3 linked regions of the Danio rerio genome follow. The protein of the gene in region 1 interacts with the protein of each later gene in a pairwise test. Links are inferred from orthologs where the notes say so. Each region holds a gene or a part of one and is shown on either strand. Other genes may lie near its edges. The genes, in order: kctd17, lnx1 and dmc1.

The links.
Region 2: the proteins of kctd17 (region 1) and lnx1 interact in a two-hybrid assay, tested with the Homo sapiens proteins (2 studies listed by BioGRID and IntAct). The link is inferred for Danio rerio from reciprocal best matches to the Homo sapiens genes KCTD17 and LNX1.
Region 3: the proteins of kctd17 (region 1) and dmc1 interact in binary tests that used the Homo sapiens proteins (3 or more experiments, as listed by UniProt). The two-hybrid records come from large-scale screens. The link is inferred for Danio rerio from reciprocal best matches to the Homo sapiens genes KCTD17 and DMC1.

Annotation. Positions count from the first base shown.
Region 1 is NC_133187.1:20,698,753-20,709,849, reverse strand, and holds part of kctd17 (BTB/POZ domain-containing protein KCTD5), read right to left. Parts: intron 7,910-11,097; coding exon 7,818-7,909; intron 7,562-7,817; coding exon 7,415-7,561; intron 5,150-7,414; coding exon 5,024-5,149; intron 4,800-5,023; coding exon 4,689-4,799; 3' UTR 4,665-4,688; intron 2,032-4,664; coding exon of another isoform or gene 2,002-2,031; exon of another isoform or gene 1-2,001. UniProt on the Homo sapiens protein: Substrate-adapter for CUL3-RING ubiquitin ligase complexes which mediates the ubiquitination and subsequent proteasomal degradation of TCHP, a protein involved in ciliogenesis down-regulation.
Region 2 is NC_133195.1:25,253,678-25,264,774, reverse strand, and holds part of lnx1 (E3 ubiquitin-protein ligase LNX), read right to left. Parts: intron 5,139-11,097; coding exon 4,891-5,138; coding exon of another isoform or gene 4,885-4,890; intron 1,462-4,884; coding exon 1,306-1,461; coding exon of another isoform or gene 1,300-1,305; intron 1-1,299.
Region 3 is NC_133187.1:21,020,372-21,032,183, reverse strand, and holds dmc1 (meiotic recombination protein DMC1/LIM15 homolog), read right to left. Parts: upstream 9,953-11,812; 5' UTR 9,753-9,952; intron 9,644-9,752; 5' UTR 9,536-9,643; intron 9,297-9,535; 5' UTR 9,296-9,296; coding exon 9,239-9,295; intron 8,530-9,238; coding exon 8,485-8,529; intron 8,409-8,484; coding exon 8,262-8,408; intron 8,154-8,261; coding exon 8,071-8,153; intron 7,754-8,070; coding exon 7,701-7,753; intron 7,586-7,700; coding exon 7,544-7,585; intron 7,453-7,543; coding exon 7,380-7,452; intron 7,272-7,379; coding exon 7,180-7,271; intron 7,043-7,179; coding exon 6,969-7,042; intron 5,361-6,968; coding exon 5,246-5,360; intron 5,102-5,245; coding exon 5,041-5,101; intron 4,973-5,040; coding exon 4,856-4,972; intron 4,345-4,855; coding exon 4,275-4,344; 3' UTR 4,029-4,274; downstream 1-4,028. Other genes in the region: gspt1 (eukaryotic peptide chain release factor GTP-binding subunit ERF3A), read right to left, coding at 1,453-1,494, 3,505-3,670. UniProt on the Homo sapiens protein: Participates in meiotic recombination, specifically in homologous strand assimilation, which is required for the resolution of meiotic double-strand breaks.

The sequences.
Region 1 (11,097 bases):
ATAGTACACACAAAAATAAACATTAGTTCACCCCCCACTTTTCAAACATGTTTGAATTTCTTTTTGTTGAACACAAAAGAAGATATTTTGAAGAATGTTGGAAACCAGTAGCCAATGACTTCCAATGTAGCTTTTCAATGAGCATGAATACAAATTATGCACACAACTGAATTAGATATATTTCATCTGATAAGAACAAATATGCCTAAACTACAGTGGTAACATGTTTGCTGATATATTACAGTATGCAAAAAAATTAAAAAATAAATAAATCATGTAATAACAAAAAACAGTGGCATTAATAGACAAACCAGCAGACTGAACACAGTAAAACATCAGAAACGTTGTTTTGGTCATTCTAAAAGGCCTTACCCAAAGACTGCCATTGTTATTATTACCTACCAGAAGCATCTTGAGCATCCCATAGACGGGTTGCAGCTCTAAAAGCCATTGCACATTCATTGTGTTTGTCTTCATCTTCTGAGACTCAAGTAATTTTATATACAGTTGAAGTAAGAATTATTAATTAAAAATAATAATAAAAATTCTATTTTAAATATTTCCCAAATTATGTTTAACAGAGTAAGGAATATTTTACAGTATGTCTAATAATATTTTTTTCTTCTAGAGAAAGTCTTATTTGTTTTATTTCGGCTAGAATAAAAGCAGTTTTTTTATCCTCCAAAAGCCATTTTGAGGTCAATATTGCTACATCCTTTAAGCAAAAAATGTGTCCGATTGTTAACAGAACAAACCATCCTTATACAAAGATAGTTTAATTATCTAATTTACCATAACCTGTAGAATTAACCTAGTTAAGCCTTTAAATTGCACTTTAAGCTGATACTAGTATCTTGAAAAATAAATAGTACGGTATTATATATACTGCCATCATGGCAAAGAAAGGTTATTATAACTGTTATATTTAAACTAAAATCTTCTTTCCATTAAACAGAAATTAGAGGAAAAAACTAAATAGGGGGCTAATAATACTGACTTCAACTTTATAAGGAAAAAGGTTCACGGTGAAAGGTTTCCTAAGAAAGAAATTTCCATTTGTCTCTTTGACATTTGGCAACGGTTATCAGGAAGTGATGATTTTGTTCTCTTAAAGTTTTTTCGCAAATGTTTTATGCAATTTCAGGTTTGCACATGAATCTAATCGCATCTTTGGATTGAATCCAGTTTCCAACATTTTTCTAAATATCTTCTTTTGTGTTCAACAGAGAAAGATATAAAAATCAAAGATTTGTAACCACTAGAGTGAGAGTAAACGGTGATTAAATCTTCATTTTTTGGATGAACTATCTCTTCCACACATGTGACAGTATAAGCACGTTAGCTGAAAATAAACTAACTTCATTAGAAGTAAACGGGACCTATTCAAAATCTTCAAACAGCATACAAACACAACCAAAATGTTCAGGAGCCCTATTAAATCTAGCGACCTCCAATGAAATCATGACCTTCTAGCCGGCGCCAACCACTATCGAAATAAACTGCCACAGATTGTAAATGGGGTAAAGTGGACCGCTGGTGGTCTGCCAGCCTGGAGCTGCTGGCACTTTACCCAGAGCTGATGCTAGATTAACAGGACATGGTCTGAGTATACCACAGTAAATGTGCAAAACCTAAACAGTAGATGCAGTCTCCTATCCACACAGCCTTTATATTATAAATTACAAATTCTATTTCTGACCAATCCCAAGTTGTTTAAATGCATGATTTTAACTTGAATATCCCATAAATAACTAGGTTGCACTCTTTGGTAAAGGTCATGTACTAAGTTGCTAACTTTCTATGTAACTGTGTCTTTTCCTAATACCTCAGGTGCCTTTTGTTGAATTTGTTTAATTTCTTTTTTTGCTGCTGGTTGTGAAGGTCTTGTTTTCCGCTAATACCCGTTGTTAAAGTCACCAAATCTAAAAAAGTATGGCTATAAAAACAGCATCATGAGCACATGATAAAATGGTTATCTAAAAAAATAAAGTTCTTTGTATTCTACATCCGGGACCCATGGATCTGGAACAGCTGAAAAAGAGTTGAAAAACATATTAGTGTCACAGCAATGCAGCTCTGTCCAAAAGGTTGAGGTCAGTAGTTTTTTTATTACATTTTTATATTTATTACATTTTTTTCCTAGCAAAAATATTAAGCCCCATCAATTTTAACCATGATTTACAGAAGATACCTATTATAATGTAGGTGGAGATAAAGTTTAGAGGTGTTTTTTTAAAATATAATACTAATTTGATGACATATTAAATTACTCTTTTTAAAGGCGGAGTGAACAGGAAATAGCTAAAGTGTTTATTCCAGTATGTTGATGCGCTTCCAATAGACTCTGCACAGCTAGTGTTTTCAGCCAGCAATAAACTTCTGGTGCGAGCTTAATGCTACTGATTTCAGTTTCACAAGGTTCCTTTTACAGCATCGATGTTGTAATATAATTAAAATATAACGAGTTAAATAGACTTTTAAATAGGCTTTTTTAAAATAGACCAGTTGGATAGCATTTTAGTTGTTCTAGCGTAAAACTGTTAAAAGAAACTCCATTGAAAATACTGAGGTAAAATAAATGTACATATTTAAAGACATGGCAGGGGAAAATATAATTTAATGCAGAGCTTCTTGTGGGGTCTGAGACCCACTTTATATTGTATATCTTACAGATTGTGAAGATCACTGATTTTTAAATTAATCAGATCTTAAATGTGACAATTTTATAATGCAAGACAGTTCACCGGAAGCGCTTGGGCTGGCTGACTGAAAATTAAAAGTCTGTGTGCATAAACCCTCACTGAAATAGAATTTTTCTTTTTGCGAATCATTCGCTCATTGCAAACTAACCGTACGAGAGGCTTAAGAATGTGGTTAAGAATATTGCGACTGAAGCCGTCAAACTGACATCAACAGAGAAGGACCACTACGCTAAAGATGTCAGCAAAGTGTCAGACTTTGAAGATTACCAAAACAAAATTTCGGTTAATTAACTTGAATCAATTAATTTCAAATATCAAATAATTTCATACAGATTTTCAGGATCATGGTGCACATGGAGCATTATTTCACCCATATTTTGACATCAGTCATTTTACTTCACTATTTTACATTTAAATGCCTGCCACGCAAATAAAATTACTTTTGCAAATGCAATTTTAATTGAAACCAAAATCAAGTCATTTTCTCATTTCAATTATACGCAGTGCTTTTGAAACTTCTTTTAAGAACCTAAAAATATTAAGCAGCTCAACTTTTTTTTTCAACATTAATATAAATAAAAATAATAATAAAAATAATCGACATATTGGACTCATTTCAGATCATGTGATACTGATGACCAGATTAATGATGTAAAAAATTCAACACAATTCATGACAAGAATTAAATACATTAAAATATACTTACATACAGTTATTTAAAATATATTACTGCTTTGATTAAGGCCTAATTCCAATTCTATTTCTGTTTTACTAATGGCCAAAAAAATATTAATTTGTGCATCTCCTGACTTATGGCTGTTGTAGATGGTGTATTCTGGGAAATTTTTATACCCCTTGGTTTCGAGTGTAGTCCTGAAAAATCTCAGTTTCAAGGGCTATCTAGCCCTTCCCCTTAGCCCTACGCCGTCAAACTAAAAAGAACTGGGACACTCCTACCCCTTCACGTGAATGCACAAAATGAGGAAAAGAATTAAGGGGAAGGGGTAAAGGGGTAGAACTAGGATTGGGCCAAATGCAAACCTGATGAGTGACGCATTTAAAAAACATTTTTAAAAAAAAGCTTATGACCCCAAACTTTTGAACGGTAGTATTAACACAAAATCTCTAATGATTTCTGATAATGACAGAGTGTGAAATAAGCCTCCGCTCCTAGTATGCTCCATGTAATTATGACAGATCGTTTTTGCTGAAGATGTGGATATGAGTGGGAATGGCAGTGACTCATGGGCAATTTATGGAACAGACGCTGTGCTAAATATTAAACAGTCATTCGGTTGAGTCATTCGGTCACCATTTCTGGTCTTGTGACCTTTACTAAAAACCCCATTTTAAAATGACATCTATTCAAATTGATATTCACAGCTCAGTACCAAGCAACAGTTTGTCTGCACACATTTTGTTCAAAATAACTACATAAAGGGATAGTTCACCCAAAAATGAATATTTACTCACGCTCATCCTTTTTGAATTCTTTCTGCTCTTGAACACAAAAGAAAATATATCGAAGAAAGCTAAAAACTAGTAACCACTGACTTCCACAGTAGGAAAAACAAATACCATGGAAGTTAATGGTTATGGGTTTCCAGCAAGATATCTTCTTTAGTGTTCAAGAGAAGAAAGAAACTCATAAAGGTTTGGAACAAGTGAAGTATCCCTTTAAAAAGGAAAATCATGCTTGGTTTTTGCTAGGAGATGAAGGTTATTGCATTTCATTGCAAATTGTCCTCATAAAAGACGAGTGAAACTATCCATACAAGTGCTTCTTGAATATTTATAAATCTGAAGACCATTTTATTAGCCAAACAATGGAATATGCATGTAGAATCATTTCTTTGTTTATCTCTAATGTAGTGCACTGAGATGCAATTCACCAACACTCTCTGACTTGTAGAGTTTTGTGGATCTACCACTAACACAACCAACACGACAGCATATCCTCACCAATTCCTTTGACTCAAGTTTCTGCTAATCTCTAATCCACTCATTGGGGGATGAATTTCTCTCTCCCTCTTCCCGCTCCTCCTCCTCCACCTCCTCTTCCTCCCTCGCTCCATCCTCCTCTTGTGTGTCCGACGTCTTGTTGTTTTATGAATGGACAACAGGATGAACAGAAACCAGCACGACAGATGATGGCATAGCAAAAAAAATTGAACAAATCATGAATTTGTGTAGTAGAAATGATCTTAAAGCTGCTGATGTGGAATGAGATGGGAAGTGTGCATGTTTTTGTGGCACTGGCAGCTGTGGTTACAGTGAATGTGAAGTGCTATGGCTGTGCATGTGTGCGTAGGAGCTCCAACCTTAGTTTTGTGGCTCTGCTCGGTCCCCAAACCTCCAGCCGAGGTGTGTAACTCTTTTGACACCACACAGAGAAATTCAGCCTGGTCCTCCGTTCCGTAGCTGTAAGATGAGCCAATGTTCACCATCTTGAAATCCAAGAAACCAGAGAGAAAGAAAGAGAAAGAGAAGGCCTTTTATTATGATAGGTAATTAAGATCTGAGGATTGGGGTGAGGACCATGAAGGAAAACATTAACGTGGATCAAATGCCTAATGAGTTGCACCAAAAACATTCTTTTTGTGATGTTTAGAGATACGCCAAATTGGTCTAGTCAAAGTCGATTCGACAAACTAAAAACATCAGCCAACAGTGTTTTTAAAGGTCCCATGAAATTGAAATAAAGTTTTTTAGTATTGTGTGTTTTAAAGACATCTATAAGCTAGTGTGCTCTAAAACGGTTACAAAATTCGTTTAGAAGATATAAACAACACCTGCACACGTCATCATGAGGGATGGGTACCGAATCTCAGTACTTTATAAAGTACGGTATCGGTGCTGCATTATAAAAGACTGAAGTATCAATAAGTTCTGACGTTAACGGTCCTGCTATCGGTACTGGAGAATTATTGCTGAATAAACATTACTTACAGCAACATAATTTAACTGACCAACCTTTTTTAATTTGCGATATTTGATATTCGTCTGCACAGTTAGCAATCTCACATGTGAAATGCTCATTTTCACTTTCGTGCGAGAAGTATAAAATCCTTCACAGCTTGTAAGCTTGCATGACACCGACAATGCCTGTTGCAACAAACACAAGTTGTTTTCTTGTATAAACGGAAACGCAAGCAATCTGGTTAAGTGAAAGTGTCTTTTAAAAGTGCATTAACTGCAATAAACAGTAATGAAAATTGCCTAGCTACTAACGGTAACGTTACATCATCCTTTGTTATGCCAGCAGTCAATGACCTAAATTAGTCTAATATTATTAATTAATAAACACACACATTCTATACATATTTCTATACAGGAGTTATTATTATGGATTATAGACATGAAATTTATGTGGTTTTAAAAGTCGTTTTATTTTTATAAAGCATGACGGTAAAACACGAACGTCATTATGAATGCATCAAAACATATGCTTGTTTGTTGTTAAAATTCTTAATAATTGCAAAAAATACCAATTTGTGCATCTCCTGACTTGCATGTGCAGCCATGTTGCCATTGTAGCTGGTGTATCTACCCTTGGGTTATCTAGCCCTTCTCCTTAGCCCTACACTTTCAAGCTAAAGAGAATTAGGACACTCCCACTTCTTCACGTGAATACGCAAAACTAGAGATAAGAGCTAATGGGTAGAATTGGGATTGGGCCCAACTTTGAAACCTTCAGTACCACAGAACCTTTAAGTGTTTAAAGGTAGACCTAGGTAAACCTTTAAATGATGGTTTCTTTTTATAATTATGCATAATGTTTTCTACCGTTTTTCAATGTTATGAACAGTTATTCCATAAGACATTATGGATTATTTCATATTACATTATTTTGCTTTTTTGCACCAATGTTGTTTAGGTCCTTCAAAATATCTTTTGAGCTTTTTTGATAAGAAAGAACAAAATTATTGCAAGCTAAATAATCCCTTAAAAAAACTATGTTTTTCTCACGGTAGAAACTCATAACTAGAAGATACCAAGTCAGAATGAGAAAGCCAATAAAAGCAGTACAAATATTTGCAAGACATTCTCAGAATTGGAACTTTGTTGCAATCACGTTCTTCAAATGGAGAGATACAGTATAACTTGGATTTGTGAGGGGAAAAAGACCATGCTGCGGGAAATTAGGAAGAATAAAACTTGCGAGACGTAAACTAATAATAAAAGTCTGATCAGATATGCCATATATATATATTTAATTCAAAAACAGTATGCGAGAAGTACCCGGATGACCTACTACTTCTGGCGAAATTCTAAACTGTGCATCCAATGCATGCTGCGTGCATCCATGATGCAGAGCGAGAGAATTCATAAATGGGAGTGAATCGACACAACTAATGCGGGTAGGTTATGCTATCATGATCAAATGGTAGATGTAGTATGTCTGAGTTCCATTCATACTGCTCACATTCATACTGTATAGAAAGCCCTTTCTAACGGTCGAGCAGTAAATTCAAATTTAAATGCAGTACCTACTGAGTAGTAGTCTAGCCATAGTCTGCCATTAAAAAAACATAATATTATTAACAAAAATTGGTGCAACTGACCTTGTAAAATCCCTTTGAATAAAAAATCCAAAAGTTTAATTTGACACTTTAGCTACATTACTGGACTCTGAATCTGAGGGGAGAATTGGACACTGGGAGCATTAGGATCAGGGGAAGGGATATCAACTCCGTGTCAGTCCAACCCACAGTCCAGAGCAGTCCGGGGCGGGGTTTTCGGCAGGCGCGCACGCTGACCTGCTCAAACTTCCAGCCGTCCGACATGGTGGACACCATCTGGGTCAGTTCCTCTTCCTGACACTGCAACACCCGATACACATGCTTCGGCGGTACCTGCTGTATGAGAAACACAGGGTGAAAACAGTGCGAGCAAGAAATGCAGTGGGATGATGCCAATAGGAGAGTATGAAAAAAAATAAAATAAAAGAGCGAGAGTGGGCGGAGGACTGGTGGCTGTTGCATAAGCACACAAATATAGTCACAAATGTACAGTAGAATAAGAGATTAACTGAAATATAGTACTTGGAGAAAAATAACAGATAGAAGGAAGCAAATGCACTGTATTGGAGGCTCGATAAAGGTTTGCTCATACCTGCGTGGCCTTTGAGTCGCGTTCAAGAATCCTCTCTTTGATTAATTTAATCAGCGGTGTGATGTTGTAGAATTCTGCCTCCTCCAGCACACCTGAAGGCACAGACACACTCTTTAAAAAAATGTCGATTTTATTACAGATTTTTATTACTATGCGTTTTTCCAACTAAATAATGTTGCAAACTGAAGACAATGCAAGAAATGAATTATTGTAAATGCTACTAAGAAATTGAAAGGTATGTTTATGCACATCATTTTCAGCTCAAATTAAATGTGTGTCTTATGCAGAGTTTACACCTTTCAAAGTTCACCGTTGTTCTCACAATATTGTTGCAGTGTTCACACTGCGTGATGGATCAGTGACAGGCCGATACACACTGCATGACTATACCATTTAAATAATCACTGACAGCTTTGTCTGGCTCGCAAACACATAAAAAGTGATAAGGAAATAACTCAAGATCAGGCGTGAGACTGAAATAGTAGCCTGCATAACGTTTGCCATTCAAATGGTCTGTGCGCTGATTTGCAGCAAAATGGCAAAAATATGGATGAATATTTCTGATTTGTTTCTGTTTAATGTTATTGTAACGCTTACTTCTTCTGAGATTGTGGTCTAGAGATCCCTGCTGCCCTGTATCTTGCTCTTCATTTGCTGAAGGTCTTTGCTGCGGCCTTTTTCCAGTCAGCATTCATTTCATAAACCTGATTTTAAATTTGTGACAGATATTTAGCATGTATCTCACGGCCAACAGCTGTTCTCTTAAACCAGCTCTTTAATTGTTCAGAATGTGTGATTATCATTTAAGTAAATGAGCACAGACTTTCAAACGATTTTGGGCATTTTTCTGCGATTTCTCAAAATCTGTTGGCGAGTGAAAACCAGAGCTTAAATTGTGCAGTGTGAACTCTGCATTTTACATTTATTTACATGACAACAGTGTTTTGTGAGCCTAAAATCAAGCTTTTAAAACATGAAACACATAATGTGTTAATGCACATTTGTACAACACGAGTTCAATTTAAGAATTCCTTAATTCGCTTTAGGTGGATTTATATTCGTGTGAAAGGATTTATGGGAATAATATAAATACATTTGCACAAAAAACTCTGACATAGTGAACATTATACCATCCTTACATTTAGAGCTAAACGATTTTTGATCAAATGAAGATCATTACCAGTATTTATTTTGTTGCATTAGGTTTTCAAACAAGATGCTTCGATCAAATTTAAACAAACGTCATAAAAAATTTGGTAAGATATTGATATCATATGCTAAAATAAAGGTCAATATTGAGACATTTTTGATTATCCTTCCACAAGCTTCTTACAATAGTTTGAAGGAATTTTGGCCCATTCCTCCTGACAGAATTGGTGTAACGGAGTCAGATTTGTTGGGGAAAAAAATAAACCGCGGTTAATAATTCTAACTTCAACTGTTTATACATACATACATACATACATACATACACACATATCCAGTTGAAGTCAGAACTATTAGCCCCCTTGAATTATTACATTTCCTGTTTATTTTTTCCCCAATTTTGGTTTAACGTAAAGAAGATTTTTTCATCACATTTCTAAACATAATAGTTTTAATAACTCATTTCTAAAAACTGAATTATTTTATCTTTGCCATGATGACAGTAAATAATATTTGACTAGATATTTTTCAAGAGACTTCTGTACAGTTTAAAGTGTCATTTAAAGGCTAAGTTAATTAGGTTAACTTGGCAGGTTAGGTTAATTAGGCAAGTTATTGTATAATGATGGTTTGTTCTGTAGACTATCGGAAAAAAAAGCTTAACGGGGCTAATAAATTCGACCTTAAAAGTGTTTTTTTTTCTTTTAATTAAAAACTGCTTTTATTCTAGCCAAACTGAAAACAAATAAGACTTTCTCCAGAGAAAAAATATTATCAGACATACTGTAAAATTTTCCTTGCTCTGTTAAACATCATTTGGGAAGTATTTTTAAAACAAATTGTAAAAATCAAAGGGGGATAATAATTCTGACTTCGACTGCAAAAAAATATATATACATGCAAAACATTCTACCCACGCAGCTCCTGACTGAGGTCTTAAGAAGTGAATCGATTAATCTTTGCAACAAACTATATGTTATTTACAGCTGTATTACCCGTTATTCGCAGCTGGTGCATCCTCAAACAAAATCCAAGTGCGTCACCTTGTGTGTGATTTTTGTAGCCGCGAATATGTCATTATGCAACATGGCACACAAAGACAAAATTTACATTTTAGGTTTTAGGTGAATTACACCTAATCAATACAGTAAGCTGACTCTCAACACCATTCGCAGTCTGTCCATGTTGCATAGCAACATATAGTAAATGGTGTAGAATCATAGAAATTCAGATCCTGATCAGGTCAAATGAACATAGCAATCTTTTACTGAATAATTGTGCAGCTCTACTTATCTTGTTTACTGTTGCTTACTAGGTTTCCAATACTAGAGTCGGCCGCACCGAAGTTAAGTTTTTTTTTTCTTTTTTGTGAACTATGAAAAGATTTGCTTCCAGGGTTTCTAGAAGTTAAATTTACAACTTTAAGACATTTTAAGACCATTATGAATAAAATTTCAGACTCAAATGGCCCTAAACGTTAAGGGTTTTTTCGAATGTTAATTTATTAACATTAATTAATAATACAAATTAATAATACAATAATAATAATAATTTAATAATTAAAACAATTAATATTTTAGTTCATTCTGAGCAAAAAAAATTAAATATTGTGTCAAAACAAGCAAGCTCTAGTTGTATACAGACACTTTATTTCAACATTACCATTCTTAAAATATAAAAACCAAAATTGAAAAAATGTTTTGAAGGTTTTAAAAACTATAATAAATTAAATGCATGCACAACAGTCTGTCCAGGTCAGCTCACTTAGCAGTAAATACATGGAGAACTTTTAAATAAATGTTAATTTGCCTAAAATTCTGATTTTGATATTTAAGACTTTACAACGCTTCACACTAGTCTTTATCCATCTTCATGTCATAATAATCTAATCAAAAAAATCACACTTATCCCTGGTTTAGGTGCTGTGCATATTCTAATGAAAATGAGCCGCTTCATCACTGCTTTTTAAAGGTCTATGGAATTTAAACAAAAAGTTTAGATGTTTGGTTAGTTTCAGTCTGTTCGTTTTAAGCAAATCTGATAGCAAAACTGACAAAATTTGTGTTTATAAAAAAATATAAAGTAGGGCTTTACGATGCCGCAGAGGGTAGCACAATCGCCTCACAGCAAGAAG
Region 2 (11,097 bases), on another chromosome or scaffold:
GGTATGTGTAAGATTTTTTTTTTTCTGTTTTTTTATTTTTTTTTTTAAGGACAACAGAATCTCCAACAGAAAAGATAGCAAAATATGCCATTTTAAATTATAAAAAATCTATTTTTGAAAAGATTTAACAAAACAGAAGTTTAGTCTGACATGTTTACTGTTTAAAAATATTTCTCAAACTAAAATATATTGTGTTCAAGAGAGAAAAAAGTTTAGACAATTACACAGAACATATTTTAGAGCAGTAATCGTAATACCGTGAAACTGTGAGACCATGATACTTTTTTAAGGTTATCATACCGTCAGAATCTTGCCTACTTACCAAAATCGTAAAGACAGGACAATCAACACAAACTGAAACCGTGTAACCGAAAAGCTCTTGAATAAAAAATGTTCCTTACAAACGTTTTTTTGTCGCTTGTTAGCAGACCACTGTAATCCACATGTCCACATGCAGCTTCACTCTCATTGTTGGAAAATGTAATCAAAACTTTTATTGTGGCACATTTTTAAACAACACTGACAACCCTTGTCTCCAAACAATTTTCTTCTTCCACTTGGTTTACGATTGGCAGCACAAGTCTGAACACTGTAACAGGTAAACAGTCATCGAAGCTTATCATGCATATTAATGAAGTTGCACCTTATTCACAATAGAGCGGGCTGATTGGTGGTCTAAAAAGACTTGGAAGTATTTCTCATTAATTAATGCTGACTCAAAGATTTAAACAACTAGGCTAAATTGTCTGTAGTGTATGAGTGGGTGTTGCACTGGCTGGTACAGACATCCAGTCTCCAGGCGAGAATTTACACAAGGATCTCATGGTCTTGACGTAGCTTCGAAACTTGAAGAATGAATTTGCTCAAAAAATGCATAAACAACCAATTTTCACTTTTTTGTGAAGTAAATGTGTCCTAATAGTGTTTTTAGCAGCGTGGGACATATATATGACTGTCAACATCTCAAAAAATGTGTTTTGGTGTTAAGAAACAATGTAATTATACTGTATTCTGGATATAAATAAAGATTTCATTATAAATTTATATTGTGTGAACGGGGCTTTATACTTCATTTACTAACAGGTTTGCTACATTTCATGTTGACCCTAACACCAATACTAAATATAATACAAAAGATAGCATCAAACAGAGCTTTGTTATTATCTGGTTTAATTTGGTCTAACTGGTCTTCTGGCTACATTTCTTTGATTCTAACTGGTCCCAAGTTGGCATTCAGTTTGTTCATTACCTATATTTTCAGCCTAACCAGGTGAGAAAATAGAAAATTTGGACACTCACACTCACCCTCTGCTGGTATGTTGGCATTTCTGAGGTTGTCTCGCTCCTCTGTGGTGTCATTGGCCACTGCTGTCCCACTCTTGGTCCTCCGTAGGACACTGAAGGCTCTATTCAGGCGCCGAAATGAGCGGCTGCGTACCGACGTCCTGTCGAAGTTGCGATCTGTGAATGAATGCGAGAGTGAAATGAAGAAAGTGACTGAGAAAGGAGGAGGAGAGAGAAACTTCTCTGCCCAAGCATGTCTGGACATGTCCTTTGTACATTCTGGTTACAATCAGTCAGGCAGCATATATTCTGAAAACTGAAGAAGGCCTAAGACAGATCCTTTTGGCATGGTTTACTAGTCTCAATTTTACATAATCGCCTGATTAAATAAACCAAGTGACAACAGTCTGACAAGGTGAGGGTCTAAACCTTTTTATTGTCTGTCCATAAATACCAGTGCAATTGTATAACTCATCTAACAGTATATTGTTTTATAGTGTCTAATGTAGATCACGTAAAATTATTGTGGCCTGAAACCTTGAAACTTGAAAGCTTGAGCTTGTTTATTGATATAATTTATTTGCAAGAAACAGATCAAATTAGCAGACACAACTTAAAACTGTATAGTCAACATATGAAGTGGATCTAAAAGTTTTTTTCAAAATTGTCAATTGACAAGAATGGGTGTTGTATAATAGTTTGAGACATTTTTGATAAAATTGTTTCAGAATGAACCGCCAACTTATCCAGCAAGTTTTTACACAGTGGATGCTCTTCCAGCCGCAACCCATCTCTGGGAAACATACACACAGACATTCACACACACACTCACTATGGACAATTTAGCCTAGTTGTTTACATTTTAAGACTTTTTATTTAAAAAACAAATGTTACACACTTGCTCTTTGCTATATGGAATGCAAAAACTTTGAAGCTCAATATCTCAAAATCATTTAGAACGCAGATAGAATCTTATAATTCCAAGGTGACGATGTGGTTTAGATGAATTGAATGAACTAAACTGGTTGTAGTGTATGTGTGTGAATGAGTGTGTATGGATGGATGTTTCCCAGAAATGGGGAGAGCTGGAATGGCATCCGTTGTGTAAAACATATTCTGGATAAGTTGGCGGCACCTGCTGATGATGAACTGTGGACACTGCAGTAAGAACCTCAGGTCAGACCTGAATCAGCACAGAGCTGTGCTGGATACTGTTTCTGCATGTCTGTGTGATGACATCACATATGAAAGTTTCGGTAAACAAATATAATGGTGTTCAAATGTTCTTTATGTTCAATTTAATAACAATGGTTGCATTTTTCAACTCTTTCAGTCATTCAGTCCTGTTGAACAAGGTTTAAAATGGCATTGGGCAGAGTGGATGCAGACAGCTTGTTCAGCTGCAGTGTCACACTGTTTTCAGTCCTAAAGCCAGAACTGCTGGGGCAGCAGCATTTATTGTCCCCGTTCTCCATGCTTCACGTTTTGAGGCAATGTCAGAAACTGAAACCGATGTGTGGAGGTCATAAAGTGTTCACATGGCATTTACACTTTTCTCTTTCTTAATCTTTGTCTTTAAATGCTAAATAATTTATGTGTCTCAGCAGAGTCTTTATAGATGTGCAGTTTGAATTGATTTTTGCATTACAAATGACATTAGTGGTGCAGAGCGCAACTTTGAATAAATGACATTACTCAGAATGCTGTAGCTCTCTCAATAATTGTGAGAAAGGAAAAGACAATTGCATGGAACATCTCCAAAAGAAAATGGTGCTATACTAAATAATAATAATAATGATAATAATAATAATAATAAATCTTAGAATAAAAGCAATTCAAAAACATACAGTTGAAGTCAGAATTATTAGCCCCCCTGAATTATTAGTCCCCCTGTTTATTTTTTCCCCAATTTCTGTTTAACGGAGAGAAGATTTTTTTCAACACATTTCTAAACATAATAGTTTTAATAACTAATTTCTAATAATTAGTTTATTTTATCTTTGCCATGATGACAGTAAGTAAAATTTTACTAAATATTTTTCAAGACACTTCTATACAGCTTAAAGTGACATTTAAAGACCTAACTAGGTTAATTAGGTTAACTAGGCAGATTAGGGTAATTAGGCAAGTTATTATATAATGATGGTTTGTTCTACAGACAATCAAGAGAAAATATAGCTTAAAGGGGCTAATATTGACCTTAAAATGTTTTTTGTTTTTTTTACTACTTTCATTCTAGCCAAAATACAGACTTTTTTCCAAAATAAAAAATATCAGACATACTGTGAAAATTTCCTTACTCTGTTAAACATCATTTGGGAAATATTTAAAAAAGAAAAAAAAAATCTAAAGGTGGCTAATAATTCTGACTTCAACTATATATTTAAAAATTTTTAAATGCAAAATGTTGAATTTAGTGTGTGTGTGTATGTGTGTGTGTGTGTGTGTGTGTGTGTGTGTGTGTGTGTGTGTGTGTGCGTGTGTGTGTGTGTGTTTGTGTGTGTGTGTGTGTGTGTGTGTGTGTGTGTGTGTGTGTGTGTGTGTGTGTGTGTGTGTGTGTGTGTGTGTGTGTGTGTATATGAATGGATGGATGGAAATGACAGAGGAGGAAATGACAATTCTACAGTTTATTGTTAAAAAATTAAAGATAGCTTCACCGATTAGCTTTGAATTGATACTAGCGTTTCATGTATACAAAACACTCTTATTTACCTTAATTTTGTTTGGTTTTTAAAAACACCTTTGAAGGTACAGCATGTTTGGGAATGACTAAATTAATGTATTTCCTTATCAAGCAATATTTATCTTGATTTTTCTTCAAGTGTTGTTGATAAAAATTCCCTCAATCTTGAACATGTGTTTTGATGTCACTAATCATTTTCATAGAAACCACCTAAACAATCTTTCACACAAACCTTTTTAAGCGACATTACAAGTTGGAAATGACACTGAAACTGTGCGACAGCTATGTTAAGTATAAAATTTTATTGATTATAGTCTTACGTTAAAAACTATAAAATATTTAACCTATTTTACAAGTACTTAATTAAGATACATTAAAAGTTACCAGCTACATAATATTTTAAAATGTTATTAATATTGTTAAAGTATAATACTCTGAGTGTGCGACAAGGCGAAAACAGTGATTTTGACACCTAAAAAGAGGTTGAATAATATGAAAAAAATATAGCTAGTAAATTTTTTTAAATTAAGTTTTATTATAAGTTTGACAAAATTCTATATATTTTTGGATATATGATCAAAGGACATAAAAGTGCCCGTAGTTAAAGAATTACCCATATACATTAAAAACAATGTGTTTGCTGCTTGGTCAAACAACTTATTTAAAATGAGCTAAAACAACACAATTCTTGAGATTTTTTGGGGACAGCTTAATTATTTTATATTCAGTCCACTTAAATGTGTTAATCTAACTTAATCGATTTGTGTTGGGACAACATAAATGCATTGTGTGGAACTCTGCATTCTTTATAGTGTAGGATACATAAAACCTTTTGCATGCACACACACACAAACACATATACACACAACACTTTTAAGATATAAACAAATACACACAAATACACTGTGTGCACTCACACTCACTCTTCCGGGAACCGCTGCGTGCTGCCAGGCTGGTGGTGCTCCCGGATTGGCTGTTATCCTCCACACTGGGCTCATAGGCGGGGTTAACCAGGCCAGGCTCATCTGATAGGAGGGCGATGGCTGAGGAGGGGCAACCCTCGCCGGGCAGTGCTGCCAGAGTGAGCTCTGAGGTGCTGTCTGTGCAGTCGCCCTCCTGAGAGCGACGCTTTCTCTCTGCAGAGAGTCCATAGTGTGACGCTCCTTTACACCTGTGAGAACACACACACACACAATGACAACTGGGTCAGCAAGATACATTACCATACAATGAAAATGTCATCATCCATGTGCCAATTAGGAAAGCAAAGTCACGTAGAGGAGACTTAGTAATCACATCGTCGCTAGGGTGTGTATTTGGACTTGAACTGAATTTTGTGCAATGTGTAGCTGATATATTATGTTGTGCCATCATAGAGGAGACCAGAGAACAAATACGTTCGCCACAGGAAGCAAACAAACACTAAGAGTAGAATATCAAAGGCCTCACCTTTGAAATGAGATTTCTTGCCTTACAAAACAAATCATGCACTAAAGCTATCTCTTCATAACATTACTGTACTCATAAACACTCACATGCAGATGTTAGTGCGGATTATATAGTGGAGCGCATCCAGAAATACATTTGCGGCATACATTTCTACTTGAAAGCATTCTTTAAATGTCACTATGTTTGCATTGACTAGCCAGTAAATGCAACTAGGCTAACTCTCATATACAAGGTCATAGGTTTGATCCACTCTGCATCCCTGAACTTTACTCTTTCCTAACTAGTGACAGGCAATTTGTCTGGAAAAATAGTGAATAGACAATCAGAATCTGTTGTGTGATGTGATCCGGTCAAAAATGCTTATTGTTTTATTTTGGACCAGTGAGCTTTTAGTGTGAGCGGTGCTAGATGGCTGGTGTTGAAGGAAGATGGATGGATGGATGGATGAATGGATGGATGGATGGATGGATGGATGGATGGATGGATGATGGATGGATGGATGGGTGGACGGACGGACGGATGGACGGACAGACAGACAGATAAATAGATAGATAGATAGATAGATAGCTAGATAGATAGATAGATAGATAGATAGATAGATAGATAGATAGATAGATAGATAGATAGATAGATAGATAGATAGATAGATAGATAGATAGATGGATGGATGGATGGATGGATGGACGGATAGAATGACGGATGGATGGACGGATGGATAGATAGATAGATAGATAGATAGATAGATAGATATATAGATATATAGATAGATAGATAGATAGATAGATAGATAGATAGATAGATAGATAGATAGATAGATAGATAGATAGATAGATAGATAGGTAGATAGATAGGTAATATCAATAAAAAAGAAAACAATAAATTCACCTCAAACATTTGTAAAGTGAATGATGGAACTATTATGGCGGCCACTGGAGCACAGGCCTCTCTGAGGGCCGGCTGTGAGGAGATAAATCAATGGACGGACATATACAGGCAAAAAAATGCATACGGCACTGGGAGAGATGCCATGCCTTGGGGACCATCTTTAAAATAAAGCATTTTGTCTCAGTATTCATGCCTGTCTTCACCCTCATAGCTGCCATAAGAGAAAAAAAGAGCGAGAGAAAGGAGACGTGTGGCCGAGGGTCTGACACTGGCTGTATATCTCACTTACTTCTGACCACTGATTGGAGTGCCTCAGGTGTGCAAACCTAATAACCGCCCTAAAAGAACAACGGCTGCTTTCACTCGGCTTCTGTTAAGGTGCTGATGAAAGACTTCAAATCCTGTTGGCAGCCTAAAGAAAGGCAATTACCCCTCGCTGGTCGATTGGCAGTGTGTCGGGACAAAATTACAGCTTAGGAGTTTTCTGTGATGACAACTACCACTCTCATATACAATCGAAGACTAAAATTGACAGACGATGCAGATAGACTGACATTAGAAAATTTAAAAAACAGATGGACGAACACAGCCAGACAGATATGGATGGATGTATGGATTGATAGAAACTGATAGACAGATAGATAGACAGACATATATAGATAGATAGATAGATAGATAGATAGATAGATAGATAGATAGATAGATAGATAGATAGATAGATAGATAGATAGATAGATAGATAGATAGATAGATAGATAGATAGATATATGGATGGATGGATGGATGGATGGATGGATGGATGGATGGATGGATGGATGGACGTACCATGCTCTACCTGGTGTGAACTGTACAGTAAATGTGAAGTGCTCTTTTCTCCTCTGTGGCCCTCAGAAGTAATTTGAGTGATTAGCTGAGAAGGAAACATCATCTCCTTCTGTTATATAAGACAGACTCATTGGAGACTAGTAGCCAGTGGTCAACTGAGGTGGGAACAGTCTTAGTTCACTTTAGGTTTTCTCCACCTCATCTCTTTTCTGTCAGCCTGAGATGCTTATACATCATTCATAGTTTTGAAGAAGAGATGCAAGTTGTGTAGTGTCTGTCTGTCTTCATTGATTAATTTATTTATTCAATAATTTGCCAATTTTCAAAAAACAATCTGCATTTGTTTTGTACAGAAAAGGTTAATTAACTGCATACAAGTTTAGAACAAGATTATATTATTTTATAATGCATTTGGAATATAATACGTATAGAGAAAAAGAGAACGACTGTAAGACAAAGAGAAAGATGCTACACAATGGTCCTGTCTGTTGCTCTGTTAATGGGCTTAGGCAGATAATTAAACCAGGCTTTCCTGCTACAGATAAAGCAGCAATCTGTGGTCCGAAGTCATAAGCTGTGTCTTTGTCCTGGCAGACCCGCATATAAACCATCAGCAGCAGTCACAAAACAGCAACGCAGAGGTTATTGTTTAATCCAGCCGTCCTGTTACATGAATGATGGCATGTGTCAGTCACCTTGCATCCAATTTCTCCTTCATTTTTACTCTCTCACACATACATACACAGCCATATGGACGGGCAGCAGGACACAGAGCAGCACAGAGAGAGATTAACAACTCTCATGCACTCTCCCACCATGTTATTACTGTATTTTTCCTTCATTCATTTGTTTCCCTGGTCCTTGACCTCCAACTTTCACTTCCAATGAACCCTTTTTTTTTGCTGTCATGCAAATTTGGCATTCTTAAAGAGACAGTTCATATTGTATAATAATTACTAGTTTTTCATTGCTGGCATTTACCTTCATGTCATTCCGAATATGGATGCTATTTATCTGGATGTTATTTTTTGCATGTCTTTGAATTCCATCCTATGCTATGCCATATGATTTCCATAATGTGGAAAAAGCTGAATGAAGTTGCAGAATTGTGCTTTACAAAAAAAAAAAGAAAAAAAAAAGAGTTTTAAACCAAATTAATATTGACAGAAAAAAACTAATTTTACTGGACAGTAATAATGCATTTTTACTTTCAGTAGTAGTAGTCAAAAATAATTTTATAAAATTCTAATACATTTGTGTATTTAAGAAAAATATTTATAAATAGATTTTATTTGTAAGTGGCTTAGGATAAATAAGTGAATAATGTGATTTTGTGCAACATGTGAGTGCAGTGTGTGACTAAAGCCAAGCCTAATTCACACTAAAGGCTCTTACACATCGCTTTTCATTTGCGTTTATCGTCAGCGTTTTATCCGGATTCAACCCCAAGCAATTTTCACTGGCGTCAAGCAGGAGAGTATGCAAAATCACTTCTTGACGTTAGATGGCGCTACACAACTTTAAGCTTCTGACACCCGCTTGTAACACAGAAGAAGAAGACAAAGTTGACACGCTTGTGGTTATGAATGGTTCAAGCAGCAGCTCCAGCTCTACCAATGCATTAATGATTATTGTTCACCAGTTCAATAAGCAGCTCCACGTTCATATCGCCTCTGGGCATCTTCTTCAATATACGCTCACATTGACCGTTTTGCGCTTGAGCGCCACCAAGTGCTATTTACTGTAACTTTAGCAGTTCCGTGCACATGAACAAAAGTGCCAACCTGATTGGTGGAGAAGGTTTTGACATGATGTGTCAACAGAAAAAAATGACGTTTTTTGCGTTGGTGTGCACAATCACATTGACGCCCTTTATTTAGTCAAGAGGCGTTAAACGTTGAGGGAAAACGCAAGCAAAAAACGTTTCTGTGTGCACGGACCTTAAGAGTGACTATCAGCGGCAAATCGACAAGCGAGTGTTCATTTTAACAAAATAGTGAGCAACTTCTGATGACCTCCGTCTACATAAGCGACCATTGGTGACCAGGTGGGTTGTTGCTAGATCGGATATGGTTAACAAGAATTATTTATATTATTTATTAAATTTCCCATTTATTGTATTTTATTAACATCTACCCCCACCCCAACTTTAAACCCAACCGTCAAAGTAACATAAAAACAGTAGTTGTACCGAGTATTATTTATGTTATCTATTAAATTACCCAATATGTTTTATTTTTTAAAGCCTTCTCCCACCCCAACCCTAAACCCAACCATCACAGTACTGTAAAAATATTATTGTTGTACAGTGTCATTAAAAAACGCTGCTATAATTATGTGCATATCGCACTTCCAGCCGGCCACGTATCTAATCTACACTTTACCGACCAGGTGGGCGAGTTAAGCGATGCAACAAAGCTGAGAATCCTTTAACTTTATGCAAATCAAGAACGACTTTATTGAACGACAGCCAATAGGAGCACTAGTAGAGCTCACGTGATCCTCACTCACCTCAAAGTAACAAGTGACCATTTATTTTAATGAAGAGTAAGCTACTTCCTGCCGCCTTCATCTATGTGAGCAACATCGAATAAGTGGACATGTCAAGTGATGCGACAAAGTTGAGAATCCTTTAACGTTATACAAATGAAAAGCGACTTTCTTGAGCTACAGCCAATAGTAGCAGCAGCGGAGCTCATGAGATCTTCTCTCAGGCCCCGTTTACACTAATGCATTTTCGTTTTAAAACGAATAAGTTTTGCCACGGTTACGCCATCCGTCCAGACTACGCCGGAGTTTTTGAGCGCTGAAAATGGAGCGTTTCGAAAATGCTGGAGAGGCCGTTTTCATTCTAAAACGCTGCTGCTCCATCTCAGTGTGGATGGGGAAAACGGAGACATCTGAAAATGGAGGCGGGGCTGCAGACATTCGCCTATCTGATTAGGGCTTTTTTCTCAATATTAAGTAGCCTACACACACAATTTAGTCTCCCATCCTCTCCCTGTAAGTTCAGACTTCGCAAGTTTGATATGGAAAACAGACCCTCGAGGACATGTCCGGTAAATCTTCAAAGGGAACAGTTTACTTTATAACCTTATTCACATCATCCTGGCTACGTTCTTTCACTTTCTCAACAATAAAATGAAAACATGATTCAACTGCCTATTTTCATTTTGATATTAACAACTTAACAGAAAGCAGAAATGCTGAGGCGTTGTGCTTCATCTACACTGTATGCATATTTATAATAAAACAGAGCCTATATAACATCACTGCCTCCTTTCATTTTCATTGAAAATATGAAACGTATCCTCTGCTTTGCTGAATGTCAGTTTTAATAAACAATAATATCCATTATGAAATTTTAACGCACATGTTTATGCATTATAGGAAATAAAGGCAAGCAATAAGTCAATATACAGAATGTACGTGGTTCCATTAATTATTAACTTATCTTTGCACTCAGCCAAAACACGTTACCTGTGAACAAGTAATCGATTCAAATGACCAAAGTCGGGGAATATGTCGTAAGATATAGACAACAAGATAAATTAAATATCATGTTTAGCAAATATAGTGAGATTAGATCCAGCGGGAGATGCTTGATGAGCAGTCCGACCAACACAGCTCTCATCTGGGTAGAACTGCTGCAGCGCTTGCCCGAGAGTGTGTGCGTGGTCACGTGATGTGCGCTTTCAGTGTTTTGGTGTGGACGGAGAATTGTTCTGAAACGCTGGGTAAAACGCTAGTGTGGACACGGGTCATTTTCATTTTAAAACGCCGTTTTAAAACTAAAACGCACTAGTGTAAACAGGGCTTCAGTTTGTTCAGAGGCTAGTTGTATTCTTCATGCTGTAGACCTACACAAACCTGGATTTGCAGCAGGTCGCCACCAAGAGCGTAGTAGTAGTAGTAGTAGTAGTAGTAGTAGTAGTAGCAATAGTAATAATGATGATAATAATTTTACTTTA
Region 3 (11,812 bases), about 320 kb from region 1:
TCTGACTACAAGTGAATTGAAGTCATGTTAAATGGGTGATCAAAATTGTGATAACATCAAATATAAATAAGACGGCTGAATGCTTGATCTTGATTGGCTGATGAACATTCTAAGGTGTGCATTTCACACATTTCTATTTTCAGGGAAACATCCAGCTAAGTAGTTCCAGGCATTACAGCTCCATACCACTATGCCAAATGATTTCAGTTATTTCACAGCCTAGACAGAGATTATGACAACATGTGAAATTAAGATGTTTTTATAGCATTTAGTTTCAATTTTTAGTTTAAGAGTTGGTTTACTCCTGTTTATTTACTCTCCTGCGATCTCCTCTTTGTTCCTTATTGAATTATTGATAAAAACTTTTGTTTGGAAACTCCATCTGTAAGCAAACTCTACAAAGGCCACTGTGTGACATCTAAAGGCAATAAGATTAAAATTTGTTTAGAGTTATTGCATGTAATTTACTGTTATTACTATAATACATGCATGATTTTCAGCATGTGTAACAAATACACTGTAAACTAAAGTGTTAATAATATAATTTAGCAATATCTTGAAAGATAATTGAAGAAATTAAAATTATTTAGCTTGTATTTAAAAAGTAACAATGGTCTAGAATCTCACGAATTCAGGTCTTGAATTCATGTTTAAATCATTTTAATGTAACATCTGAAATGTAATAACAAACTGTTTAAGTTTTATGTACTGTCAATTGTATGATCCATGTACAGTCGTTTGATACACTGTTAAACCATTTATTCCACTTTAATTGTAGGGTTGCATGTCTTTTAGGAGGGAATGTCAGTCATGTGGGTGTGAAGCAGCACAAAGCTAAGCAAATAATAATGAAGGAATTTTCAGTTTTGGGTCAACTTTAAGTCAATGAATCTTTACCAAGCCACAATGGGGCCTAAATAAATATTAGAAGGCCCCAGTGAGCCTTAAAACTATTTTAAAATAGCTATATTAACATAATTTTAATTATAAAGCAAATAATAATCATCATAATAGTAAGATAGACCATTAAATTGAGATATTTCTGTTTATGTAGATTTATTACAACAGAAGTTAACAGAAGTTGTTATTACAATTAAGTGTTTTATATAAATACACTCTTAGATATAAAGTTAAAAAAGTGCCTCTTTGAGACACAACATCAGAATCAGTGGAGAGAAATTAGATTTTTGTAGTATTTGTCATTACAGTTACTACTAGATAATAAAATCAGAGCTGTATGAGTAAGCACTATATTGTCATGTGCTTCTCTGGGCCAGTGACTGTGGCTGGAGGTGTAAGTAAAGAGATAAATAAGGCCTGTAATATGAGCACATGTGTGCTGATGTAACAAGCCCAAGTTGCCCTCTGTATGGCTGATGAAGCAGCATTAGTGACAGTGCAACACTATATCAGAACACAAAACCCAGGCGATCCAACAAAACTAGAACATACCCACTGGCTCCGAGATCTCCATGCTGGCCACTACATCGGTGCCTGTGAAAAGAGACAGAGATTATGACTATTTTACATTTTAAAACTCAGTTATAAATCTGCCATTGTAAAACTGCATTTAGGTTGTGCACTGACAGCTATATTGCTTAAATCACTATTCACTAAAGAAGTTGAATAAATTCCAATGTACAGATGAAAATAAACTACTGTAACAAATACAGTATTCCAAAAATGAATCATTTAATCTGACAAGCACAGGTCAAAAATTATTTGCAGGGAATAAAATGTTCTTCTCATGATCAAACTAAACTGAAAAGACAGTAAACTAAAAGATACTAAACTAAAACTAGCTTGACAGAACGTTTTTAAACAACTAAAGCAATGTTGAGTGATGGTGTTTTTATCAGTTGAAAATTCCTGAAGGGTTTATAAAATGTTATGTGCGTGATAAAATCACACAAATTAGATTTAATATGCTTCAAGAGACTTGTTTCTGATGCTTGTGCTGAACTGCAATAACCAGAATTGAGACAAAGGTGTGGAAAAAAAAACAAAAATGCAGGAACATTCTATCCTGTATGGTTGCATCTTGTGACATATCCTTTTTTAGGTTGTTTAGATGTCTTTGGTCCATGTTCAGTTTATGTTTTAGTCAAACCACAAAGAATTCAGATGATTCATACTTATTAAAATGAACCAAGTGTGAATTTACCAAGTGCCAAAGTCCAGACTCATTATGAATGAACTCCAACTCGTCTCATATTCAAGTAAATTTGTACTGTAATTTGACTGTCATTTTGGACTTGATCTGAGTACAGGTAAATGTCATGTTAAATGGGTGATAAAAATTAAATGGGTGATAACTTCAAACTTTAAAAAAGACAGCTGTTTGCTTGATCCTGATTGGCTGAAGAACATTCTAAGGTGTGCATTTCACACATTTCTATTTTCAGGGAAACATCCAGCTAGTTGTTCCAGGCATTACAGCTCCATACCACTATGCCAAATGATTTCAGTTATTTCACAGCCTAGACAGAGATTATGGCTGGACAAAATAAAATAAAACACTCAGTTTTAAATCTGCCACTTAAAAAAAACAACAACTTTATTTTACCTTAACTATGTTGTTTAAATCACTATTGTGGAAAAAGTTGTATAGATTCTAATGTACAGGTGAGAATAAAAACAAAATTTGACAGTAATATTGAATATTCTCAAAATCATTCACAAAAAACAGAGTCAGACAAGCAAAGTCAAATGCTGTCATCTAAACTAAAAAACAATAAAGTAAATCTGGCTTGACAGAACGTTTTAAACATTTAAAATAATGTTGTGTTTTTATCATCCAGAAATCAAAACTAAAGTAAAATACAACATGTGTCTTTAAGTGCAGAAACTGCAGTAAGGATAACATAAGGAAATAAGGGCCCTTGCTTAACCCAACATTATCATCAGCAGCAGCATTTTAATAGTAGGCCAACTTTACTACAGCTGTTCATGTGAAGTCATATACACACAACACCCATGAGGGAGCGACCCGATCCTGTGGAGAATAAAATAGCTAGGATACCTAAAATTGCATTTATCTCACTTATACATATTTATATTAATATTTCTCAGAATGGTTGCTTATTTAGGACTTTTAATAAGCAGACAATTCTGAGTAAACATTTAGCAGGAGTGACAGTTCATTTAATGTGTTCTTGTATGTCATATTATCATACATTAAATATTACTATTAAAATTAAATGTGGAGGACAAACAAATGTTCTGGTGTAAAGTCGGCGGCTAAAATTGCCATGCACAGCTAGCCAGGTGCTAGTTCGTGACAGAAAATAAATGTGAATGAAAGGGCCCTAAATCAACATATTATAAAGTGGTAACACCTGTTTATGTTTAGGTAATATCTTCAACTAGACTATGATAAATGCATTGTTAACTAACCGCTGGCATCTTATCTGCTAGCCTGCTATAAACATTTCCAGCTAAAAGTCCTTTTATGGTCAGACCGTATCGATGCTGTCAATCGGTTTATTAACGCTGTCAGTTTACCATCAGACGTGGCGTTTTCCGGTGGACCCCGTGAAAGAAAGGATGGGACGAACTCCGGAGCGTTGACGTTGAGCCCGGTGAAGGCGGACTGAAGTTCGGTATCAGCCGTGGCCTCAACATCGTCCTCCTGTTCCCAGGAATCAGGGGCAGTGTCTCTCGAGTCCATAGTGGCTTCACCTCGAATAGCTGACGTTTCTAGCGGCTTGCGCTATAAACCACACGGCGGTTTTGACCAAAACCAAATCTGCTATGTTTTCAGTATCTATTCCAGGTAAGGTGAGGGATTGGGGAACTCGAAAGTGTTGTGAAATGGTGCATAGAGCGCCTTGTCTTCATGCGACACCATGGACGTGTAGCTGCTTAGCTGCTCCTGGATCTTGCATGCGCGCAGTGCAGAAGCGTGGACTGTGAAAGCAGCGACCATATGTGATGATAACCACATCAGCAGCTTTTCAAATTAAGGCTGATGTGGTGAAATTACAAGTGCTTTGCATATAATAATAATAACAGACATATGAAATAGCTTGTATTTTAACCATTTTAATGTAATTGTATTTACAATATAACTTGACTTGTATAAATATATCACAAACTATTACAATTAGACCAAGTGAAAACATAAATGTGCATTGTATTAATTTTATGCAGAGATACAGGTGTATGATAAATTAAATAATAAATAAATAGGTACAGCGGATTTGAGTTTTCACCTGAACAGATTCCAGCAAGAACAAACTGGCGACATTTTATAACACTCTTTCTGTGCAGTTTTAGTCTTTTGCGTCTGTTATTCCTCCAGCCGTAATGGCAAAAGTAGCTTCGTTTTCTGGCATGTGTGGGCTGTGGAAAAGCAAAGGATTTCTTTATAATGCAAACATGCAAAGTGAATGATAACCACATCAATCTAAATATACAAATAAATTAAACTAGAAATGTGAAAATGTTTCACTTATGAATTCTGTTTTTTTAATTCAGAAATATAGTACAATGTATTATAGTAAGTGAATAAGGTTCCAATTTTTAATAAGGTTCACTTCTGTTTGAAAACATTAGTTAAGTAAAATTCAAAATGTAATTGTTTTCTCAAACCTTTTTTCAGCTCACAATTGACAATCTTTTTCTACAAATTGTGTAAACAGTTAGAATGGTCATTTAATAATCACCTTTTTAATTAGGCTTCTAAGAAACAGGCTTCTATACACATTGCACTGACTGATGCTAAATGATAAAACCTTATTCTAAGCCTAAGGTAAGGCCAGTTTATTTATATATCACATTTCATACACAATAGTAATTCGAAATGTGTTCAATAAACTCTGTATAGAAAATGTAGAGAAAATCCTTAAATTACCTGTCAAATATCTTGGCAATTCTCAGTTCAGCACGGCCTTTCCTCAGGCTGATGCGTGTGGTAGAGGCGTGTGCCAGTATGTGTCCTCCAATGGGCTTTTTAGGATCTGCTTGAAATCTAAGATCATAATAATTCATTTAACATTCATCAACATCTCTTTTTTCTTATTTGTTCCCCCTACTTACGTCATTCCAGCTCCTGGGTCTGCAGTCATCTGGTTTGTGACAAACACGGCAACATTGTATTCTATATCCCACAAAAAGGTTTATATTTTTATTAATAAAGTGGTGGTGAGAAAACTGAATTTAAGCTTACTTCAGCGGAGAGAAGACTGACTGCCATCATGTTATACTAGTACTGCTATTCTCAAATATGATGATTTCTACAAACCTTCAGAAATCTTCTGCAGTCTAGAGAGCATTTGTGCAAGCTTCTGCTGTCTCTCTGCCAATTCTCCTCTTCCAGAGAAGTCAACCCGGAACAGAGCCATTATTGAGTCTATTATCTGTGGGAAATTAAATGTTGATGGTCACAAGAATGAAGTGCCAGCATTAAATTATTTTTAAGATTTATATTTTATGTTTTCAAATATTTCCTGAGTGTTCTTTAATGAAAAGATTTTTACAAACATTTTTAAACATACATTTTAATAACTAGTTTGTAGTAACTTTTTTGTCCTCGCGATGATGACAGTACATAATATTTAACTAGTTTTTTTGCAAGAGGCTAGTATTCTGCTTAAAGTGCCATTTAAAACCACATGGTGGTTTCGTCTGTACTCAATTGGAAAAAATCGAAATAATATATATAGTCATTCATTCATTTTCTTTTCGGCTTAGTCCCTTTATTAATCTGGAGTCGCCACAGCGGAATGAACCGCCAGATTATCCAGCATATGTTTTACGCAGCAGATGTCCTTCTAGCTGCAACTTATTACTGGGAAACACCAACACACACACTCATTTACACTTATACACTACGGCCAATCTTAGCTTACCCAATTCACCTATAGTGCATGACTTTGGACTGTGGGGGAAACCAAAGCACCCAGAAGAAACCCCACGTAAACACGGGGAGAACATGCAAACTCTACACAGAAATGCCAACTGACTCAGCTGAGGCTCAAACCAGCAACTTTCTTGCTGTGAGGCGACAGCACTACCCACTGCTCCACCGCGTCGCCCCATATTATAATATATATATATTAGGTACACCTCCCAACTGCTCATTAATGCAAATTTCTAATCAGCCAATCACCTGTCAGCAACTCAATGCATTTAAGCATGTAGGCATGGTCAAGACGATCTGCTGCAGTTCAAACAGAGCATCAGAATGGGGAAGAAGGGTACTTTTAGTGACTGAATGTAGCATGGATGTTAGTGCCAGATGGGCTGGTCTGAGTATTTATTTGTATATAGTCTGAGGAATATTTCCAGTATCATGTTGAATCTATACCACAAAAGATCAAGGCAATTCTGAGGGCAAAAGGGGGTCCAACCTGGTACTAGTAAGGTTTTAAGTGGCCGGTGAGTGTGTGTGTGTGTGTGTGTGTATGTGTGTATGTATTTTACAGGACTAATAATTTAATAATTTCACCTTCAATTATACATGCAGCATCACCTTTTTTCTCACAGTCCACAACAATTTATTAAAGGATTCAGTCTCTAAACACTGTGTTATCTGCTCTGATTTGCCAGAAAGTGCACTCTGCTGTGACTGGTCAACAGCTTACATAGAAAAGTAAATTCTCATTACCATAAATGCTATAAACTACTATTTGTGACAAATTTGTTTAAGTTTTGCAAGAGGTAAAACTGTAATAATTGACCAGCTTGAATTATTTTTTTACAAACGAACAATAGCTGCCATTCATGAAACTTCTCAATAATTTGTGTGTTAAATGGAATTTTCAGGAATCTATATTCCAGGTGAGCAATTTATGTGTACCAACTAACAATTTTAAAAATACAATCAGTTTCATTAATCCAAAAACAGCTCTTTTAGCTTTTTTACACTTAACTATAATAAATGTTTAATAAACTTTAAGTAAAAGCTCTACCTAAAAAGTTACCTCAGAAGATTTACACATTCTTCCATCTCTTACCAGACTCACCAAAAGCTTGAAGACACCACCTTCTTCATGAAACTTGGCTGCAACAAAATCTAGCAGTTCCATCTGATGCTCACCTCAAAAATTAAAAATAGAGACAGATTTGTAACAAAACACACAACACACATTTTGTGGCTCCTCTTTGTCTAGCCAAATAGATTCTCAAGTAAAATGACACACAAAAACTAAACAAAGAAGTAGCAGCTATTCTTACTGGTATACGCACGTGCATAAAGCACATTGTCCAGAACAGCTTCATGATCCACATTGAATCTGTCAGCGATGTCCTTCAGCCTCTCAGGCCGACTGATGTTCACAATTATTAAGGTAAAAAGTTCAGAATGACTTCTCCATATGAAATGGATTTAGTAAAATGAATCACTCACACACAGCAAGCAAATGCACAAATGATACAAGGTGTTTTCGGTATCAATGAAGATGACCTTTCCTCCTGTGTACCCAAATTCCCCAGGAAGCTGAGCAGTAACTGAAGGGAAAAAAGAAAACAAAATGATGTGAATGGTCTAAAAATGAGAATTAAATTCCGCATTTAACATTTACACAAGATTCATTCTTACCACACAGAGTATGTGAGAGCTGAGTCTTTCCAGTTCTGAATTCTAAATGAGGCATGGGAAACAATTCACAAAGACAAAAACATATCATTTTGGCAGAAGTGATGTACGGAAAATGCCTAACATATCATTATGGTTTCAAATCAAAACATCACCCTACCACCAAAAGCCTCGGTGATGGCCATACTCTCCACACCTCCTCCAAGGAGTTTGCTAAAGTAAATATGAATAAACCGTTTCTCCTTTCATGTCAACAATGTAAGACTTTCATCGGAAAACATATATAAAACAACATGTTACTGCTTGTACACTGAAAACCTTAATAAGTTGACTGAACTAAATGAATAAAGTAAACTCTTTGCCTCAGTTTATTGGAGTAAATGAGTCCTCCAAAACTTACATATTTCAGTTTATTTACCTTGCCAGTTTTGTAGATTATACTTAAATTGTTCAGTTCACCACACAAAAACAAATTCTAGCCACAAATAAAATTTGGTGTCTAAAAATGTAAGACCTATAAAGCTTCTTACTCAAACTCCAAACTGCCAGTTGTGATGTGAAACACTTGCTTTCTCTTGATGCAGTATTCAGATGCTGTCTGGAATCCGCATGTCTGCATGAATGAACAGAACATATTACATTTACAACCTCCTTGATCGATGAGTAGTTACAAAATACAGCAAAAAATATATAAATCATGTCAACCAACACATCAAATTACCAGCAACTTTCCAGCGGCTTCTTTAATTTTGTCCACTTTAGCTTCAGAAAGTCCCTTTATGTTACAGAGAGCACGGCGTGTGGTCATCTGGATGCCTTTCACCGTACAAATCCCTACAGACTTCAGTTTCTTTATGTCGGCCACGTTCTTCAGAAAGATCATTATGGGTGAGAACCACTTTCATGATCATTTCATAACTTCATAATAACAACATTTTACTTACAATGCCATGCTTCTGCAAGAGCTCAATGTCTTGAAAAAAGGATTCCTGGAAGAGATTTGATAGCAAATGTTCATCACATTACATAGAAACAACAAATAAATAAAAAACAAGTGGGGATTTTCAGATTTAAGTTGAGAAACTGTAGGTTAAAAAATCATGTGCTTGTCAGTTTTGAGAATTTGGGGTTTTCATAAAGTGTTTATCAGTCTTATGTAAAGATAACAGCCAAAATACAATGTGAGTGTTTCTTTTATCACACATTTTTTTTTCATTGGGCAGTGGATTTCAATTTCAATATTGTCAATCAAAATGAGTTTTCCTCTTCTGTACTGTGCCATAAATCTCCACTTTAGCAGCATTCATTTTAACCAACTTTAGTTTTATTCATATCTTTAATCTGAAGGTTTTAACAGATCGATGTGCTCATAATTAGCCTGATTATAAACAGTATTTTATTCTACAATACTTTATTGTTGTTACTGGTTACAGTCTTTTTCTGAATTATGAAGTAAAAAAAGAGATACCTCTAATATGTATTAATAACGACTATTCCATTTAATGTTTAGGCTGTGTTAGAACTGTACACCACTTTACTGTACAGTTGTATTTTATGGTTTTGACATGAGTGTTTTGCTTTATGCACCATTATGATGTTATATTTTTTATAAACACAAGACCTAACACGGTTAAATAAAAAAGCATGTTTTTGCACGATTGAATGGGCTGTGGCTGCCTGAAAATGAATGTAAATCACCTCATCATCTTGGTATCCCGACTCCTCTTCCAAAGTTTGTTCCTCCAAAACTTTCATACTTTGAATGAGACAAAAAGAACGTTTAAGTTATAATAAAATACCTGTGATTTGGCATGCTATTAACCACGTAATTTGGTAACAAGTTTACCATAAATCATTTAAAACTTGCGGCTAAACCGGCTAATTTACATGTACGTTTTGTTGAAGCGCTGTGATAAAAAAATGTGTCTTGTTCCTTGTCATAACGTTGTTAATTAATTATTTTTAATTTTTTTTAGAACAGAAATTACATTTTACCTGTCGTTTATTCCTGAGAAGAAGCTGAAAGAAATTTCGCGCCACAATCGTATGTTGACACTTTGGCTCGGCGTGCACGCGCATCAGTCCCGCGCCCAAGCAAGCTTGCTACATAAAAAAATGTATAATAAATAAATAAATAAATAAATAAATAAATGTCGTTTTAAACTGCTTTTTACACTGTTGTTGTTAAATTGTTAAAATATCTCTGTTTTACCTTTAATGACAAAAATTGACCAAAAACATACAAACTAATTTTTTAGGTTTATTGTTACAGATAAAATGTTACATTTTAATTTGAAACTTGTTTAGGAAAGATTTTATTTCAAAGGTAGGTGATAATTAAACAAACACAACTATAAGCATGAAAATTAAATAAAGGTATGATGACGAATACTTCAGCTTTGCAGCATGTGTGTATTTTTTAGCACTTAAATTATACATAAAGAGGAAATAATCACAACACCAGACACAATAAAGTACATTGTTGAATAAATATATTTTTATTGTTTTCTCATTGTGTTCCATCCTTCTCCATCTCCTCTTCCTCTTTTTTCCTTCTCCCTTTCCTTCAATCCTTTTTCTATTTAAACTTCTCCTCCTCCTTAATCTTGTCATCCACCTCCTCCTTATCCATCGTCTCTTCTTTTTTCCTTTTCTGTCCTTCAATCATTCTTGTCTTTAATCTTCTCCTCGTTAATCGCCATCCACTTCCTCCTTCTCCATCATTCTCCTCCATCTTCTCTTCATCTTTTTCCTTCACCCTCTCCTTCAATCATTCTTCTCTTTAATCTTCTCCTCCTACTTAATCTTGTCATCCACCTCCTCCTTTTCTATCATTGCCTTCTCTATCTTCCCCCTTTTTTCTTCTCCCTTTCCCTCCATTCATTTTCTTTTTAATCTTCTTCTCCTTCTTAATCTTATCTTCCACCTACTCCTTCTCAATTATTGTATCCTCCATCTCGTCCTCCTCTTTCTTCCTTCTTGTCCTCCACCTTAATTTTGTCCACTTCCTTCTTCCCCACTGGATCTCCACAGGATGAATCAGGTTGCTGCAGCTTGAGGTCTCCTTCCAGCACAAACCAATCCACTACTACAAACCCACAGTGCTTTGCAGTGCCGCACAGCTTTATATAAAGATTGGAATAATTTATAATTAATTGTTATACTGTAAAATTTTTTTTTAAGAAAAATGACTAAGAAAATGTCAGCTGGATAAACTATTTTGAATGCAACAAAAGCTTTTTTATTTGTGAGTCTTAAAAAAATATTTATTCGAAATGTATATATTTGGTGGCAAAGGACTCAAAAAAGGTTTTGGGAAACTCAAACAACAAGAACTGAAATTTATTTACTTCATAAATAAATTTTAAACAAAATATTAAGACAAATATGTACAGTTGAAGTATTTATTAAACCCCCTGAATTAAAAGACCCCCTGGTTATTTTTCCCCCAATTTGTTTAATATAGAGAAGATTCTTTCAGCAGATTTCTAAACATAATAGTTTTAATAATTCATTTCTAATAACTGATTTATTTTATCTTTGCCATGATGGCAGTAAATATTATTTGACTAAATATTTTCAGGACACTTCTAAAGGCTTAACTAGGTTAATTAGGTTAACTAGACAGGTTAGGGTAATTAGGAAAGTTATTTTATAATGATGGTTTGATCTGTAGACTAGAAAAAAATATAGCTTAAAGGGGCTAATACTTTTGACCTTATGGTTTTAATTACTAAACCCTAAAACTGTTTTTATTCTAGCCAAAATAAAACAAATAAGACTTTTTACAGAAGAAAGAAATGCTATCAGACCTACTGTGAAAATTTCTTTGCTCTGTTAAACATCATTTGGGAAATATTTAGGGAATTTCTGACTTTAACTGTAGTTTGCAATACTTAGGCTACTACTGCATATTGCACATATCAGCAGGTTCTTTTTGCACCGTTCCCGCATGTCTGCAACTCCTGCTGCATCACATCAGGTTATCAGCAGTCAGTCACAGAAACAGAGATATTTGGTCATTTGATGAGTCACACACAAATTCTGATTCAGTTTGCAGTACACACACATACATGCACATTTAACTGTTTTTGCATGGGCAGCAAATGTAAGTTAGCCATTACTGTACATGATAAATCAGATTTAACATCCACAAACCAGAACTCCTGTTGTGTTTAAAGCACCCTTATATATAGTTGTACTGTCATCGTGCAGCTATTGTGAATCTAGTAGATATGAATTACGTTTTCCTTTCTGTTCTTTATTTTAAAC